Linked DNA regions of Anolis sagrei. The protein of the gene in region 1 interacts with the protein of each later gene in a biochemical or structural test. Links are inferred from orthologs where the notes say so. Each region holds a gene or a part of one and is shown on either strand. Other genes may lie near its edges. The genes, in order: torsin-1A-interacting protein 1 and torsin-1A-like.

What was found.
Region 2: the proteins of torsin-1A-interacting protein 1 (region 1) and torsin-1A-like form a complex in vitro, tested with the Homo sapiens proteins (2 studies listed by BioGRID and IntAct). The link is inferred for Anolis sagrei from reciprocal best matches to the Homo sapiens genes TOR1AIP1 and TOR1A.

What each region holds. Positions count from the first base shown.
Region 1 is NC_090024.1:125,724,641-125,734,600, forward strand, and holds the start of torsin-1A-interacting protein 1, read right to left. Parts: upstream 3,789-9,960; 5' UTR 3,395-3,788; coding exon 2,947-3,394; intron 1-2,946. UniProt on the Homo sapiens protein: Required for nuclear membrane integrity. Induces TOR1A and TOR1B ATPase activity and is required for their location on the nuclear membrane. Binds to A- and B-type lamins. Possible role in membrane attachment and assembly of the nuclear lamina.
Region 2 is NC_090031.1:3,864,199-3,873,891, forward strand, and holds the start of torsin-1A-like, read right to left. Parts: upstream 4,592-9,693; 5' UTR 4,549-4,591; coding exon 4,356-4,548; intron 1,909-4,355; coding exon 1,643-1,908; intron 1-1,642. Other genes in the region: UBAC1 (ubiquitin-associated domain-containing protein 1), read right to left, coding at 9,244-9,359. UniProt on the Homo sapiens protein: Protein with chaperone functions important for the control of protein folding, processing, stability and localization as well as for the reduction of misfolded protein aggregates.

The DNA.
Region 1 (9,960 bases):
GTCCCCGCATGAGGAGCTGGAGCTGATAGAGGGAGCTCATCCACCTCTCCCCGGATTCGAACCTGCGACCTGTCGGTCTTCAGTCCTGCCGGCACAGGGGTTTAAAAGGTAGGAGCTCTGAAGATGATTGCTGCCCTGTGTTTAAAGTTCCCTCCTTTCAGGATATTTCTGCCTCTTTTCAACCCTGGATTGTGTGATGAGCTCCATGCCTCTCTATACTTGACAAGGGGCTGAAATGCCCTACCAGGGGAAAAGTTCTCAATGTGATAAGGTGGTAAGAGGGCGAACAAATTGAAATTGAATCCAGACAAGACAGATGTACTCCTGGTCAGTCGAAAGGCCGAACAGGGCATAGGGTTACAGCCTGTGTTGGATGGGGTTACACTCCCCCTGAAGACGCAGGTTTGCAGCTTGGGTGTGATCATGGATTAATCGCTGAGCCTAGAACCTCAGATTTTGGCAGTGACCAGGGGAGCATTAGCACAGTTAAAAGTTGTGCGCCAGCTGCACCCATACCTTGGGAAGTCTGACTTGACCACAGTGGTCCACACTCTGGTTACATCCCATATAGACTACAGCAATGCGCTCTACATGGGGTTGCCTTTGAAGACTGTTCGGAAGCTTCAAATGATCCAACGGATGGCCTCCAGGATACTAATAGGAGTGGTGCTCAGGGAGTACACAACTCCTCTGTTGCGTCAGCTCCACTGGCTGCCAATTTGCTACCAAGCACAATTCAAAGTGCTGGCTTTAGCCTATAAAGCCCTAAACGGTTCTGGTCCAGCTTACCTGACCAAACGTATCTCTCCTTATGAAGCATCTAGGACAGGGGTCCACAAACTTTTTAAACAGAGGGCCAGGTCACAGTCCCTCAAACTGTTGGAGGGCCGGATTATAATTTGAAAAAAACATGAATGAATTCCTATGCACACTACACATATCGTATTTGTAGTGCAAAGATTACTTAAAAACAATACAATAATTAAAATGAGGAGCAATCTTAACAAATATAAACTTATTACTATTTCAATGAGAAGTGTGGGTCTGCTTTTGGCTGATGAGATAGGATTGTTGCTGTTGCTGTTGTTGTGTGCTTTCAAGTCGTTTCAGACTTAGGTTGACCTTAAGCGAGGGCTGGATAAATTACCTTGGAGGGCCGCATTCGGCTCCCGGGCCTTAGTTTGAGGACCCCTGATCTAGAAGCTTAAGATTGTCTGGGGAGGCCCTGCTCTCGATCCCGCCTACATCGCAAGCACGATTGGCGGGAACGAGGGACACAGCCTTCTCAGTGGTGGCCTCCCCGGCTATGGAATTCTCTCCTCAGGGATATTAGATAGTCCTCCTCCCTCCTGACTTTCCGAAAAAAGCTAAAATCTTGGCTCTTTGAGCAAGTTTTTGAGAATGCAGAGGAAAAGATAACATGAAACTATGAATGATGAACATGGAATGGCCAGGAAAACCATTTTAACAAGATGGCATTGGTGACTACATGTTTTAATGGTTTTTACATATGTTTTATATTGTTACGTTGATGTTTTTAATCGCACTTTTATGAATGTATGGCATCAAATCGTGCCAATCTGTAACACGTCCCAGAAGTACTTTATTAGAGACTAAGATTGTCCGCACAGTGCGCTTATTCAAAAATCCTTACATCTCACTCAGCATACTCAGCACTTTTTAATCTGTACCCATCACATTTGGCCCGGCCTAGATTTTATTGTGCCACGGTGTACTGTTTTTATTGCTTACTGTTATTGCTTAATGTTTTGATTTGCTTTTGGTTTATGTGTATTTGTTATATTGTTGTTTTATTGAGGCCTTGGCCTTTGTAAGCCGCATCGAGACCTTCGGGAGATGTTAGCGAGGTACAAATAAAGTTAATAACAATAATAAATAACCCGCCTTGAGTCACGGTATGGTTGAGAAAGGCGGACTATAAATGTCGTAAATAAAGACCAAACGGGCAGTACTTGTTGTTCATTCGTTCAGTCGTCTCCGACTCTTCGTGACCTCATGGACCAGCCCACGCCAGAGCTCCGTCGGCCGTCACCACCCCCAGCTCCTTCAAGGTCAGTCCAGTCACTTTAAGGATGCCATCCATCCATCTTGCCCTTGGTCGGCCCCTCTTCCTTTTACCTTCCACTTTCCCCAGCATAATTGTCTTCTCTAGGCTTTGCTGTCTCCTCATGATGTGGCCAAAGTACTTCAACTTTGTCTCTAGTATCCTTCCCTCCAATGAGCAGTCAGGTTTTATTTCCTGGAGGATGGACTGGTTGGATCTTCTCGCAGTCCAAGGCACTCTCAGCACTTTCCTCCAACACCACAGTTCAAAAGCATCGATCTTCCCTCACTCAGCCTTCCCTAAGGTCCAGCTCTCACATCCGTAGGTGACTACAGGGAATAGCATGGCTTTGACTATGCGGATCTTTGTTGCCAGTGTGATGTCTCTACTCTTCACTATTTTATCGAGACTGGACATTGCTCTCCTCCCAAGAAGTAAGCGTCTTCTGATTTCCTGGCCACAGTCTGCATCTGCAGTAATCTTTGCGCCTAGAAATACAAAGTCTGTCACGGCCTCCACATTTTCTCCTCAGGAGATGTTAGCGGGGTATAAATTTATTTATTTATTTATTTATTTAAATACTTATATACCGCCGTTTCTCAGCCTAGCCAGCGACTCAACGCGGTTTACAGCATAATATAACAGTCAACAATATACAGTTAAAAGCATAAAAACATAAAACACAATTCATACATCAATACCAATCCAGTTCAGCTCTTAACTAAAAACGTGATCCAGTTCGTCGTCCATATTGCCAATCCTTTATTATTAATAAAGTTAATAATAATAATAAATAATAAATATCTCGCCTTGAGTCACGGTATGGTTGAGAAAGGCGGACTATAAATGTCGTAAATAAAGACCAAGCGGGCAGTACTTACGGTGAGGGAATATCTCGCCTTCTGAGAAGCCGCCTTCCTCCTCCTCCTCCTCCTGGTACTCTTCCTGGGGCTGGGGCTGCTGCTCCTCGGCCTCATCCTGATCTTCGGCCCTCCTGTACGGCGTGGAGGGTTTCTGGCGGGAAGAGCGCAGGCGGTAGGCGGGCGCGTCCTCCTCCTCCTCCTCCTCCAGGCCCTCTCCCCTCTCCGGCCTCGGCTTCATCTTCGCCCGCTTCCCCAGCGGAGTGGCAAAAGGCCCTTCCGCCGAGAGCTCCAGCACTTCTTCGGAGAACCTCACTTCCCGCCTCGGCCGAGGAGAGGAAGGAGTCGACGTCCGGGGCCGGAAGTTGACAGCGCTGTTGCTCCCGCGGCCATTTTGGGAAGCGCTTTCCCTCAGAGGCCGCCTGGGGGTCACGTGACCGAAGAGCCTCCCCTCCCCGCCCGCGTGCATGGCGGGCCCCGCCCACGCGCCGCTCAGTCTAGTCTCCCTTCTGCGCCTGCGCGGCTTGCCTTTTGTTGGCTCAGTTACAGAGCACCCCCTTTTCCTTCTTCCTAATATTCAGCCCAGTCTTCCTCAGCAGGGCGCCTCTCCCCCTTCAAAGGCCTTCGGAGCCTCGGCAGGGTCCCTTAGCCAGGCAAAGGGGCTCCTCTCCGGCTTTCAGAGCGCAGCTGCTCCCGCCTCCGCTTCCCTGGGGTCCTGCTACATCGTAGGGGTTGCGTTGGTTGTTGTTGCCAAGATGAGAAAGTGCCCTCAAGTGAAAGAAAGGCCCGGCCGGTCCCCGAAGCATTCCCGGCCTTCGAGTCAGCAAATGAGAAAACAAGCCCGGAGTCCAGCCCATCAGCTGCTTGTGGGAGAAAATAGGTCATCAGGGAAGGGAGAGATTTAAAGCACCCTCGCCTCCATCTGCAGGCCAGGCTCCCAGGGCAGCAGCAGCAGCAGGAATCTATCTCTATCTATCTATCTATCTTTATCTATCTATCCTTATCTATCTATGCTTATCTTTCAATCTATCTAATCTGTCTATCTATCTAATCTATCTATCTAATCTATCTATCTATTCCAATGTTTCTCAACCTGGGGGTCGGGACCCCCAGGAGTGTCGCGAGGGGGTGTCAGAGGGGTCGCCAAAGACCATCAGAAAACACAGTATATTCTGTTGATCATGGGGGTTCTGTCTGGGAAGTTTGGCTGAATTGTATCATGGGTGGGCTTCAAAATGCTCTTTGATTGCAGGTGAACTATAAATCCCAGCAACTACAACTCCCAAATGTCAAGGTCTATTTTCTCCAAACTCCACCAGTGTTCACATTTGGGTATATTGATTATTTGTGCCAAGTTTGGTCCAGATCCATCATTGTTTGAGTTCACAGTGCTCTTTGGATATAGGTGAACTACAGCTCCCAAACTCAAGGTCAATGCCCACCAAACCCTTCCAGTATTTTCTGTTTCTCTCATGGGAGTTCTGTGTGCCATGTCTGGTTCAATTGCATCTTTGGTGGAGTTCACAATGCTCTTTTAATTTAAATGAACCATAAACCCCAGCAACTACAACTCCCAAATGACAAAATAAATCCCCCAACCCCACCAGTATTCAAATTTAGGCGTATTGAGTATTTGTGCCGAATTTGGTCCAGTGAATGAAAAATACATTCTACATATCGGATATTTACATTATGATTCATAACAGTAGCAAAATTACAGGTATGAAATCGCAACAAAAATGTGGTTGGGAGTCACCACAACATGAGGAACTGCATTAAGGGGTCGCAGCATTACGAAGGTTGGGAACCACTGATCTAATCTATCTATCTAATCTATCTATCTAATCTATCTATATACATAAATAAATAAATAAATAAAAATGTAATGTTCATTTGTGGGATTAACAGAAATCAAAAACCAGTGGGCCAATTGACACCAAATTTGGACAGCATACACCTAACAACCCAATGTATGTCCTTCACTCAATTTTTTTTTTGATTTTGTCATTTGGGAGTTGTAGTTGCTGGGATTTATAGTTTACCTACAATCAAAGAGCATTCTGAACCCCATCAACGATGGAATTGAACCAAATTTGGCACACAGAACTCCCATGACCAAGAGAAAATACTGGAAGGGTTTGGTGGGCAGTGTCCTTTGGTTTTGGAGTTGTAGTTCACCTACATTCAGAGAACACTGTGGACTCAAAAAACGATTGATCTGGACCAAACTTGGCACGAATACTCAATATGCCCAAATGTGAACATTGGTGGAGTTTGGGGAAAATAGAATCTTGACATTTGGGAGTTGTAGTTGCTGGGATTTATAGTTCACCTACAATCACAGAGCATTCTGAACCCCACCAATGATAGAAATGGGCCAAACCTCCCACACTGAACCCCCATGTGGGCCACAGCGACGCATGGCAGGGGACGGCTAGTATATATATATATATGGCAGTGGGGACTCAGGGCCCTTCCACACATCCCTGTAGCCCAGAATATCAAGGCAGAAAAACCCACAATATCTGCTTTGAAATGGGTTATCTGAGTCCACACCCAAGATATGTGGGATTTCCTGCCTTGATGTTTTGGGATATAGGGCTGTGGGGAAGGGTCCTATGAATAAGGAATGAAATCGAATCATGGGTCTTGTCTTTGAGCATTCCACCCACCTGTATAAAATCCACATTGAACTGGGATATATGGCAGTCCGGACTCAGATAATCCAGTTCCAAGCAGATATCTGCCTTAATGTTCAAGGGCCCCTTCCACACAGCTGAATTAAATCCCACATCTGCTTTGAACTGGATTATATGACAGTGCGGACTCAGATAACCCTGTTCAAGGCAGGTTTTGTGAGATTATCTGCCTTGATATTCAGGGTTATGTGGCTGTGTGGAAGGGCCCTGCGCAGGCATGTAGCCGGAGGGGGGGGGGGGCTCGGGGGGCTTCAGCCCCCCCCCTGAAATTTTCATGGTGGTTCGCGAAAAGGCCTTATTGGTGCATTATTTAAACTGTTATGTTTATTCATATCATGATCTGATCACCATACTCAATATATCCCATATGCATGGGGGTATTGGGGTAATGATACAAAAGGTTTGCTAGGGTACATCCTCTTTCACTCAGACTCAGCCCCCCCCCCCTGAAACTCAGCCCTCCCCCTGAAACCCCCCCTGAAAAAAAAATCAGCCCCCCCCCCCCCCCCCGAAACGAAATCCTGGCTACGGGCCTGGCCCTGCGTTTGTTCTTGTGAAAATTTTTCATGGCAACAAGAAGGCAGGCAACTATACACAACAAGTAGAGGATATGCACTTTCATTTCAGCAAGCTTGGCCATAACTTGAATGTTAAAGTCCATTATCTGTAGTCACTCAGGCCCCACACTTCCATATAAAATCCAGATTATCTTCTTTGAACTCATTGTACAGCAGTGTAGACTCAGGTAATCCAGTTCAAATCAGATAACATGGATTATCTGCATTGACAATCTGGCTATATGGCAATATAGAAGTGGTCTGAGGCCCCATCTATGCTGCCATATAAAATCCAGAATATCTGCTTTAAATTGGATTATATGGCAATGTAGACTAATATAAATCCATTCAAAACAGATAATATGGATTTTATATAGCAGTGTAGATGGGGCCCTAGACCCGTTTCCAGAGAACTGTGGACCCCTCTACGCTGCCTTATAATCCGGATTATCCATGCAGATAACCCACATTATCTGCTTTCAACCAAAATCGGGATGGTAGACATTTGTTTTCATGTTGGCTGCCAAAAGATCAATTTTCTATCGGCCCATTTTGGGGGGAGGGGGAGTGCTTCCCAGGCTCCCATTCCCGTCATTTTAGACATTTAAGTTCTTTTACTCTAGAGGAGATGCACTCAGCTGCAGACAGGTGTGTTCTGCGCACGCTTTAAGGAGGCTTATTATCTATTCGAGAGGAGGTGCTTGGCTGCAAGCAGGCACAGGTGATTTCGGCAACCATACACACGCACACACTCTTTCCTAGGCAAGTTCTCATTCTTACTCTAGAGGAGGCACTTGGGTGCAGGCAGGGGTGTGGACTTTCTGGGTGTGCATGCCACACATACATGCACCCTGTTTCCAAAGCAAGGAGACAACAGGTAACTTCTCATTCTTACTCTAGAGGAGGTGCTTGGCTGCAAGCTGGCCTGCATGCCACACACACATGCACTCTCTTTCCAAGGCAAGAAGGCATGGAGCGCCACATACTCACGAAAAGCAGGCAAGGAGCCGGGATTGGCTCCTGCTTGCTTTTGTGCCGAGCTGATTTTCCTGCCAGGAGTGGGCTTCCCATTACATGCTCCCGAAGGTAACGAAGTAACAAAAGAATGGATGAAACAAAGGAAAACGGTTCCGCACACAACTCTAATTAAAGAGATATGTGGCTCTCTTACATTTGGTCAGTGAGAAAACTGGTTAGCCTACTCTTTGTCTTGTGTATGGTTCTGCGAGCTGCAACCATGAAACTTGTCAATTAGACAAATCCATCGAGAATGTAATAGATTAGACATTTTTGCAAAAGAGTACTCAGGCTATCGATAGCTGTTAGTTATGATGGTAAAACATTGCCTCTAGAGTCAGAGGTAGCGTGCTTCTTAATGCTAGTTAGTGGAGGAATGACAACTAATGGAGGCCATTGTTTTGTGTTGTGAGCTTCCCTGGAGTATCCAGTAACCTCCTGTGGAAAACTTGATATTGACCTAGATTGTTCTGATTCATCAAGATTCCCCTTGTGTTACCATTGTGGCACTATATTTTATTCATGACAGCAACACTATTTGTCATCATCACATGAATGGGCAGCACTTTCTCTTTAGCTCTGAGAGTGGTCATGCACATTCCATGATATCCAAACAGTTCTGTAAACAGATGTCAAGAGGCCTGCATTTAAAAATAATTATGAGCTTATGCTCTAATTTAAGTGGTTTTAAATTTAAAATAGCATGGTTCAGCAGCTAGGATGAGTACTGTAAATGTACTTTGGGACATTACTACAATTAGTCATAGCTTAACTGAGTAGCCTTCAGCATGTTTTTCATGCAGTAGACCATGATGGCTTTGAAAGACAGCAGATCACAAGAGCTGTCTTCATAGACCTGTCAGCGTCTTATGATACTGTAAACCACCGCCTCCTCCTGACAAAAATGTATAATATCACAAAGGATTACCACTTCACCCACCTCATAGGAAATCTGCTACAAAACAGGAGCTTTTTTGTTGAATTCCAGGGCTAGAGAAGCAGATGGCGGAAACAGAAGGACGGCCTGCCTCAGGGGAGCGTGCTTGCTCCATCCATGTTCAATATCTACACAAATGACCAGCCACTACCAGAAGGGACAGAAAGTTTCATCTATGCTGATGATCGTGCCATTACCGCTCAAGCAGGGAGCTTTGAGATGGTTGAACAGAAGCTATCCGAAGCTCTAAGTCAGTGGTTCTCAACCTGGGGTCCCCAGATGTTTTTGGCCTACAACTCCCAGAAATCCCAGCCAGTTTACCAGCTGTTAGGATTTCTGGGAGTTGAAGGCTAAAAACATCTAGGGACCCCAGGTTGAGAACCACTGCTCTAGGTGCTCTTACTGCCTATTACAGGGAAAACCAGCTGATCCCTAACCCATCTAAAACACAGACATGTGCTTTTCATCTTAAGAACAGACAAGCATCCTGATCTCTGAGGACTACCCTTCAGGAGAGAATGCTTCTGGAACATGGCCAGACAGCCCGGAAAACTTACAGCAACCCACTGAAGCTTTTGACAATACAACAACAACAATAATCTATATAAATAAAAATGTAATGTTCATTTGTGGAATTAACAGAACTCAAAAACCACTGGACGAATTGACACCAAATTTGGATACAAGACACCTAACAACCCAATGTATGTCCTTCACTCAAAAAATTGATTTTGTCATTTGGGAGTTGTAGTTGCTGGGATTTGTAGTTCACCTACAATCACAGAGCATTCTGAATCCCACCAACAACAGAATTGGGCCAAACCTCCCACACAGAACCCCCATGACCATCAGAGTGGGCCACAGCAACGCGTGGCAGGGGACGGCTAGTCTATATAAATAAAAATGTAATGTTCATTTGTGGGATTAACAGAACTCAAAAACCACTGGACAAATTGACACCAAATTTGGACACAGGACACCTAACAACCCAATGTACGTCCTTCACTCAAAAACATTGATTTTGTCATTTGGGAGTTGTCATTGCTGGGATTTATAGTTCACCTACAATCAAAGAGCATTCTGAACCCCACTAATGATGGAATTGAACCAAACTTGGCACACAGTTCTCCCATGACCAACGGAAATGCGGAAAACCGCATTGAGTCGCCTAATTAGGTTGAGAAACACGGTATAGAAATAAAGCAAATAATAAATAAATAAATAAACGGAACACACTGGAAGGGTTTGGTGGGCATTGACCTTGAGTTTGGGAGTTGTAGTTAACCTACATCCAGAGAGCACTGTGGACTCAAACAATGATGGATCTGGACAAAACTTGGCATGAATACTCAATATGCCCAAATGGGAACACTGGTGGAGTTTGGGGGAAATAGAATCTTGACATTTGGGAGTGGTAGTTGCTGGGATTTATAGTTCACCTGCAATCAAAGAGCATTCTGAACCCCACCAACGATGGAATTGAAGCAAACTTGGTACGCAGTTCTCCCATGACCAACAGAAAATACTGGAAGGGTTTGGTGGACAGTGTCCTTTGGTTTTGGAGTTGTAGTTCACCTACATCCAGAGATCACTGTGGACTCAAACAATGATGGATCTGGACCAAACTTGACACAAAAATTCCATATGCCTAAATATGAACACAGATGGAGTTTGGAGGAAACAGACCTTGACATTTGGGATTTGTATTTACTGGGATTTATAGTTCACTACAATTAAAGAGCATTCTGAAACCCACAAATGACAGAATTGAGGCAAACTTCCCACACACAACCCCCATGACCAACAGAAAATACTTAAGGCCATC
Region 2 (9,693 bases), on another chromosome or scaffold:
GTGCCGACGCTAAGCAGATGGGATAAGAATTTTTAGTAGATATAAACCAGACAGCAATTGAGACTTCCAGGCATCAAAGTCCAGCAACATCTAACAGGCCAAAGGTTCCTTATCAACAGTCTCAGGATTCGTTTCACATACAGAGCTAGAGTCTAAGGGGCTGACTATTTAGCAAATAAATCTAGAGAATTATGCAATAATATTATTATTATTAATGATAATAATAAGCTGTCAGAAGACCCATCTCTTCCACTCAACTTCCAATCATGAGATTTGATTCGCGTTCTATTGATGCTATATATTAATTTTATACTTATGTTTGGTGTATGTTTTTGAAATATATCTGTGTGTTTTTATCCATGTATGTTATTGTTTGTACTTTATGTTCATATGGTTTGTATACCGCCTCAAGCTGTCAGCAGAGGCAGGTAATAATTAAAATATTATTATCATTATTATTTTCACAATCATCATTATCATTATTATTATAGTTACAGTATAGGAATCAAATGCAACTTTAAAAAAGCATACAGTACTTATATATTGTTGTTTGTGTATTTTAATATATTTTAAACAATTTAATTGTTTTTATTATTACTTAATACTATTAATACTGCTGTTTTGTTGTTGTTGTTGTTGTTGTTATTATTATTATTATTATTATAAATGGGAAGGGATGACTGTCCTTTGTTTGGCACTGACAAAAACGGAGATAACATTGTTTTTGTTGTAATTATTATAAATGTAAAGGCATGACTGTGTGTTTGCCACTGAACCAACTGCAGACATCATCATCATCATCATTATTATTACTAAATGTGAAGGTAATTATTATTACTAATCTTATCTCCTGCCTATGTCATCAGTTGGGAGCCCCCTCTCCCCCGCCCCGGCTTTGGGCCAGAGTGAAAAGAGGGGCAGAAGAGGATTCCATCTTGTTTCCTATGCTTCACTAATAATATAATACATTGTAATATATTGTATATACATATATTTAAACTATAATGCAATACAATATAATAATAATAATACAATATTATAATTATATATTTTATATTACATGTAATATTACTAATAATACTACAATATAATGGAATAGCACAATATAGTAATATCTAATATATATAGTAATATATAGTACAGTGTAATATATAATATTAATATTGTGCTATGATAATAATATAATATATTGTATTTACATTTAACTTGTAAGCCGCTCTGAGTCCCCTTCGGTGTGAGAAGGGCGGCATATAAATGTTGTAAATAAATAAATAATACTGATACTGTATTATGCTAATAATATAATATATTGTATGTATGTATGTGTGTGTGTATATATATATATATATATATATATATATTGTAAGCCCCTCTGAGTCCCCTTCGGGGTGAGAAGGGCAGCATATAAGTGTCGTAAATAAGTCAATAAATAAATAAGGGACAACTGTCCTGTGTGCCTTTAAGGAAACTACATATTATTATTATTATTATTATTATTATTATTATTATTATTATAAATGGGAAGGGATGGCTGTCCTCTGTGTGCCACTGAGGCAACTCCAGACTTTCCTGAGTATAGTTTGCACTAAAACCCCGACCAGCTCTAAAGAATGATGCCCAGATCATTGACTCTGTGCTTTACCTTGTACTGGGTGAGGTTCTGCAGGTGAGGGAAATGCAAGGTGGAGATGAACTGGTGGACATATTTGCTGTTGAGGCCCTCTTTGTAGAGGCTCTCGGCCAGGATTTTGCTGGCAAAGTTCTTCCCGGTCCCGGTCCAGCCGTGCAGGGAAAGCGTCAAGGGCTTCTTGGGGTTGGAGTTGTTCAGAAACCCTGTCACGGCCTTCACTATCACCTTCCTGGCCAAATGCTGCCCAAAGAGCTTCTTGTCCAAATTCTCCTGTAGCACTGCAGACGGGGAGAGAAAAAGACACACCGATCAGCTTTTTTTTTTTTTTTAAATCTTTATTGAGTGTTTTTAGATACATAAAAATTGGTGGAACAATTGGGTAGGGATAGGAAAGTGAGATCAGCTTGACAGGAACAGAAATCCTCAACAAATGAATACACATAGTTATATGTTACGTTAATATTGACTGTTATCATTACTGTCATAATCACAATGATATACACCATGACAATGACAATTTATTTATTTATTTGCGACATTTATATGCTGCCCTTCTCACCCACGAAGGGGACTCAAGAGCGGCTTACAAGTAATACGTAAATACAATATATTATATCATTACCATTGCACAATATTAGTATTATATATTACTATATTGTACTATACCATTAGACTGTAATATTATTAGTAATATTACATGTAATATAAACTATATAATAATAATAATAATAATAATGGTAAAGGTTTCCCCTGACATTAAGTCCAGTCGCTATTATTATTATTGTCATTATTGTGCATACATATTTTATTTTTATATTGTACCACATTATAATATTATAAATATATGTATTTACAATAATGATAATTCAACAATATAAAAATATATACTAAGGAAAAATAACAGCACTATTATATTATTATATTGTATCCTTTTATAATATTATCAATATCATATGTATTCACAATAATGATAATATAACAATATAATAACATATACTAAGGAAAAATAATAGCATTATTATTATTATTATTATTATTATTATTATATTGTACCCCATTATAATATTACCAATCTTTGAAATATAATATTATAATATTATCTATCTTTGAAAGGCAGCAGATCACAGGAGCTGTCTTCATAGACTTGTCAGCAGCCTATGAGACTGTGAACCACCGCCTCCTCCTGAGAAAAATGTATAATATCACAAAGGACGACCACCTCACCCGCCTCATAGGAAACCTGCTACCAAACAGGAGCTTTTTTGTCGAGTTCCAGGGCCAGAGAAGCAGATGGCGGAAACAGAAGAACGGCCTGCCTCAGGGGAGCGTGCTTGCTCCATCCATGTTCAACATCTACACAAATGACCAGCCACTGCCAGAAGGGACAGAGAGCTTCATCTATGCTGATGATCGTGCCATCACCACTCAAGCAGGGAGCTTTGAGATGGTAGAACAGAAATTCTCCAAAGCTCTAGGTGCTCTTACTGCCTATTACAGGGAAAACCACCTGATCCCTAATCCATCTAAAACACAGACATGTGCCTTTCACCTTAAGAACAGACAAGCATCCCGAGCTCTGAGGATTACCTGGGAAGGAATCCCACTGGAGCATTGCAGCACACCCAAGTACCTGGGAGTCCCTCTGGACCGTGCTCTTACCTACAAGAAGCACTGCCTGAACATCAAAAAAAAGTGGGCGCTAGAAACATCATACGAAAGCTGAGTGGCACAACCTGGGGATCACAACCAGACACAGTGAAGACATCTGCCCTTGTGCTGTGCTACTCTGCTGCTGAGTATGCATGCTCAGTGTGGAACACATCTCACCATGCTAAAACAGTGGATGTGGCTCTTAATGAGACATGCCGCATTATCACAGGGTGTCTGTGCCCTACACCACTGGAGACATTACACTGCTTAGCCGGTATTGCACCACCTGACATCCGCCGGGAAGTAGCAGCCAATAGTGAAAGGACCAAGGCAGAGACATCTGCAGCCCATCCCCTGTTTGGGTGTCAGCCTGCATGTCAACGATTTAAATCAAGACATAGTTTTCTAAGACCTACAGAGACACTCGCTGGAACACTCCAGCAAGCGAGAGTCCAAAAGTGGCAGGCTCAAACCCAGAGCCTCAATCCAAGGGTGATACCAGATGAGAGACTCCCCCCTGGTCGAACAGAGGACGGGGCGACTTGGAAGGAACTGAACAGACTGCGCTCTGGCACCACGAGATGCAGAGCCAATCTCAAGAAATGGGGCTACAAAGTGGAATCCTCGGCATGTGAGTGTGGAGAAGAGCAAACCACTGACCACCAGCTGCAATGCACCCTGAGCCCTGCCACATGCACAAGGGAGGACCTTCTTGCAGCAACACCAGAGGCACTCCAAGTGGCCAGATACTGGTCAAAGGACATTTAACCAACTACCAAATTTGCAAAATCTGTGTGTTTTTTTTTCCTTTTTCTTTTTAGTCTGTGTGTTTGTTTTGCTCTGTTAGAATTGTAATACAATGGTTGCTGATGAGACGATAAATAAATAAATATTACCAATATTATAAGTATTCACAATAATGATAATATAACAATATAATAATATATACTAAGGAAGAAATAATAGCACTATTCTAATAGTGACAATATAAGCATGACATTATTATGTTAATACAGTTCCCACTTTCTGAGGTGACAGCCCCTCAGGCAGCCAGGTAGGCCTCTGCCTGACTGACCTGGCTGGACTTGGGCGCCGTCCCCTTGGTGGCAGCAGTGGGCGAAGAGGCAGTAGAGGCGCGGGTAGGAGAGGAAGCCCGTGAAGGCGGAGGCGGCGGCGCCGGCCAGGGCCAGGCTCAGGCTCAAGGGCTCCACTGCCCCGGCCAGGCCCGCCGACAAGACCCACGTCGCCAGCCACACCCGCCACCGCATCGCCTCACGACGGGCACTTCCGCTCTACTGGCGGCGGAGGGCCCTCAGGGAAGGCGCTTCCGGTCCCGCTGCCGCCATCTTGGGGCCGGGCGGGAGTTCAACGCCGCAGCGACGGGATTGGCCCGCGGGGAGGAGGGGGGCGTGGCTTAAACGAGACTCACGGCCTATCCCATTCCAGCAGCACGAAGGGGCGGGGCCTATTCCCAAACACACTGCCTTTCCCATTCTAGCACCTCTAATGGGCGGAGCGAGGGGCGTGGCCTATTCCTCAATACAAACCCATTCTAGTCTCCCACATGGGCTGAGCGAGGGGCGTGGCCTATTACTTGATAGTCTTTCCCATTCTAGCCACACCAATGGGCGGAGCAAGGGGCGGGACCTATTGATTGATAGACACTGCCTTTCCTATTCTAGCCACACCAGTGGGCGGAGCTTGGGGCGTGGCCTATTGCTTGATAGACACTGCCTTTCCCATTCTAGCCACACCAGTGGGCGGAGCGAGGGGCGTGGCCTATTGCTTAATAGACACTGCCTTTCCCATTCTAGCCACACCAGTGGGTGGGGCGAGGGGGCGGGGCCTAATGCTTAATACACCATTCCCATTCTAGTAACCCTAATGGGCGGAGCGAAGGGCGTGGCCTATTGTTCGATAGACACTGCCTTTTCCATTCTAGCCATACCAGTGGGCGGAGCGAGGGGCGTGGCCTAACGCTTAATACACTGCTGTTCCCGTTCTAGCTACCCCCTAATGGGCGGAGCGAGGGGCGTGGCCTATTCCTCAACACACCCAGCCTATCCCATTCTAGCTACCCCCTAATGGGCGGAGCGAGGGGCGTGGCTTATTTAATAATAATGCACTTTATTATACTTTGGATACACACTGCCCTGCCTATTCAATCTACCTTTCCCAATTCTATATGCTATGATAATAAAATAATATAGTATAATATAATATATAGTATATATATATACTGTGTATACAACATAATACTAATAATTATATGTATATATTACATGTATGATTAATATGTATATATATACTGTATTTAATATAATACTAATAATATATTATAATTATGTATATATATACATATGTATTACATGTATTATTAATAATGTTTTTATATATACTGTGTATACAATATAATACAAATAATATGATATTATAATTATATATATATTACATGTATTATTAATATTTATATATATACTGTGTATACAATATAATACTAATAATATATTATAATTATATATTACATGTATTATTATTTATTTATTTATTTATTTATTTATTAATGCGCTTGTATACCGCTAATATCTCAGCCTAAATCGGCGACTCATTGCGGTTTACAACACTTAAAAAACAACAATATTCAGTTTAAAAGCATAAAACACATATCCAATACAAATTATTATTAATAATATTTATATATATACTGTGTATACAATATAATACTAATAATATCACATTATAATTATATGTATATATTACATCTATTATTAATAATATGTATATATACTGTGTATACAACATACTAATAATATGATATAATATTTGTATATATTACATGTATTATTAATAATATGTATATATATAGTGTATACAATATGCTACTAATATGGTATTCTAATTATATATATATTACATGTATTATTAATAATATTTATAAGATTATAATGTAATGCAATATACTACTAATAATAATTCATTATATTTCTATATTTTATATTACATGTTATATTATTAATAATATTACAATATAATGGTATAATACAGTATACAAATATATAATGCTGATATTGTGCTCTGCTAATAATATAATATATTGTATGCATATATATCTTGTAAGCCACTCCGAGTCCCCTTTAGGATGAGAAGGGCGGCATAGAAATGTCGTAAATAAATCATATAATACTGCCCCTCCATTGAAACCTATGGGGCATCTCTGCCTCTGGAAAATCCTGCAAATCTCTTGGGAAGACAAGTGGACAAACATCAGCGTGCTGGAAGAAGCAAAGACCACCAGCATCGAAGCAATGGTCCTCCGTCATCAACTCTGCTGGACCGGCCACATTGTCTGGATATCTGACCACCGTCTCCTAAAACAGTTGCTCTACTCCGAACGCAAGAATGGAAAACAGAATGTTGGAGGACAGGAAAAGAGATTGAAAGATGGGCTCAAAGCCAACCTTAAAAACTCTGGCATAGACACTGAGAACTGGGAAGCCCTGGCCCTTGAGTGCTCCAGCTGGAGGTCAGCTGGGACCAGCAGTGCTGCAGAATTGGAAGAGGCACAAATGAAGGGCGAAAGAGAGATACATGCCAAGAGGAAGGCACGTCAAGCCAACCCCAACCAGGACGGCCTTCCACCTGGAAACCGATGCCCTCACTGCAGGAGAACATGTGGGTCAAGAATAGGGCTCCACAGTCCCCTATGGCCCCACTGCCAGAATGCTACACTTGGAGGACCATCATCCTCAGACTACGAGGGATCGCCTAAGTAAAGTAAGAAGTAAGTATGGGGCATCTCTCTGTCCAGGATGTGCAATCCTTTGCCGCCCTCCGGGGGACACATTGAGCATTGCGCCCCCTTGGTATTGTGCACCTCTATTGACGCCTATGGGGTATCTCTCTGCCCAGGACTACTATGTGTAATACTATGTGGACACACCGAGCATTGCGCCCTCTTGCTAATTTTAAACCAGATTTATTCCTTTCCCTATTTGGTTTTAAAGATATTTTCCCACTTAATAACTGAGCCTAGGGGGGTGCTGCATTTCTATTTCTATTTTAATGGGGTTTTTTTTTAAAAAAAATTAATAGTCCTAAATTTAATTGCAAGAGTTTAATGTATTTTAACAGCTTTTTCATCGTAGTCCTGTATTTAATTCTGTTTTTGAGGTTTATTATGTCTTAGGTTTTAATTTACACATGGTAAATTAAATTATTATTAGTAGTAGTAAAAAGCAAAATATTATTATTAACGACAATCTGCTTTTAATCATAGAATAATAATAATAATAAGCTTTGCTTTTAATAATTCCATCTCTTCTAAGAGAGGAAAAAGGATGATGACGACATTAATAACTTTTAACTCTCTTAGAATAATAATTAAAATAATAGTTTTTTAAAAGTAGGATATTATTTATTTATTTATGACATTTATATGCCGCCCTTCTCACCCCGAAGGGGACTCAGAGCAGCTTACAAGTAATATGTAAATAAAAAACATTATATTATTATAATAGCATAATATTAGTATTACAGATTACTACGTTGTACTATACCATTATATTGTAATAATAATAATAATAATAATATCCCTGCTTTTTATTTATTTATGAAATTTATATGCCGCCAGTCTCATCCTGAAGGGGACTCAGAGTAGCTTACAAGGTATATATACATACAATATACTATTATATTATCGACATAGTACAACATCAGTATTAAATATTACTCTATTGTACTATACCATTATATTGTATTATTAGTAATATTACATGTAATATAAATTTATAATTAAATTATTATTAGTATTATATTGCATTACATTATAATATTATAAATATTATCTGTATAGACAATATATTATATTACACTGTATTATATTAGAATAGCACAGGAGACAAGGTGGAAGTGTCCCCTGGACCCCTCTCTCTTTTACTCTTGGAATAATAATAATAATAATAATACTTTATTTCATCAGTTCTAAGGCACTCACTAATTTCAGTATCATCAAAACAGAAAAAAGCTGTATTTCTGTTTCCAAAAGTACCTGTGAATCTCATTTTTTGGAGATGTTTATATTGGAATAAATAAGGGCTTCTTAGTATCAGTGGTGCAGCAGATTAAACTAATGAGCTGATGAAATAGTTGTCCTAAAGGTCTGTAGTTCAAATCCAGAGAGTAGGGTGAGCTCCCACTGTTAGCCCCAGCTTCTGCCAACCTAGCAGTTTGAAAACATGTAAATGGGAGTAGATGGAATAGGTACTGCTCCGGCAGGAAGGTAACGGCGCTCCATGCAGTCCTGCCAGTGGAGGTGTCTATGGACAACGCCGGCTCTTCGTCTTAGAGATGAGCACCAACCCCCAGAGGTAAAGGGGGAAACCTTTACCTTTTTAGAATTGATGAAATAACAACAATAATAAATGTATTCCTGGCTTCTCCCTGTGACTTGATCCTGTACGAGGGGTTAATTCACTCCTTTGTTCCCCATTTAATAACATAGTAATAATAATAATAAAACAACGCACACAAAAATCCGGTTTTAAAAAGCCTTCTGCATTTTCAACACAGACACAGCTGAAGAAGACATTCCAAATACTGCCTGCTTTTAATCGATCCCCAAACGGAACTGGCTTGAACGCCGACGACGTGGCCACGCTCCAAGAGTTTAAAAGCGTGGCCCTGAATTGGGATGTATAGTACAACCAGGGCCTCCTCCGTTGAACTATGAATCCCAAAAAGATCTACTTTTTTTCGGGCCCTTTTCTGCTCAAAGGAAAATGAAAGCCACACTGCAAACGGAAACAAAAAGTTCGTAATGGAGGGAGAGGGATAAAATAATTATCGTAATAATAATAATAATAATGACACACCCAACACACGGATTTCTGCCCTCCCCCAAAAGGAGGGAAAGTCCTTCAAAAATGGCACAGCGGATATGAATCGGGCTTTTCCGCCCTCGGTTCCTACGTGCGGTTCAACGTCTGGAAGATGCGGGAGATTTGCAGCATGACGGGCCCCGTTTCGGGGTCGTTCATCCATTGCGTGCTGTTCAACGGGTTTTCCAGCATGTCTTCAAAGGCTGCGGTGAGAGAAAGGCTTGACTTATTATTATTAATATCATCATCATTATTAGGTTTTATCATATTATAAGCTGAACATGAGTCAAGAGTGTGATGCTGCAGCAAAAAAGGCCAATGCGATCCTGAGCTGCATCAACACAAATATATAATATAGGACATAGATGACTGACACCAGGCTTGAGTTGTTATTATTATTATTATTATTATTATCATCATTAGGTCTTATCATATTATAAACTGAACATGAGTCAAAAGTGTGATGCTGCAGCTAAAAAGGCCAATGCAATCCTAAACTGCGTCAATACAAATATATAATACAAGATATAGATGACT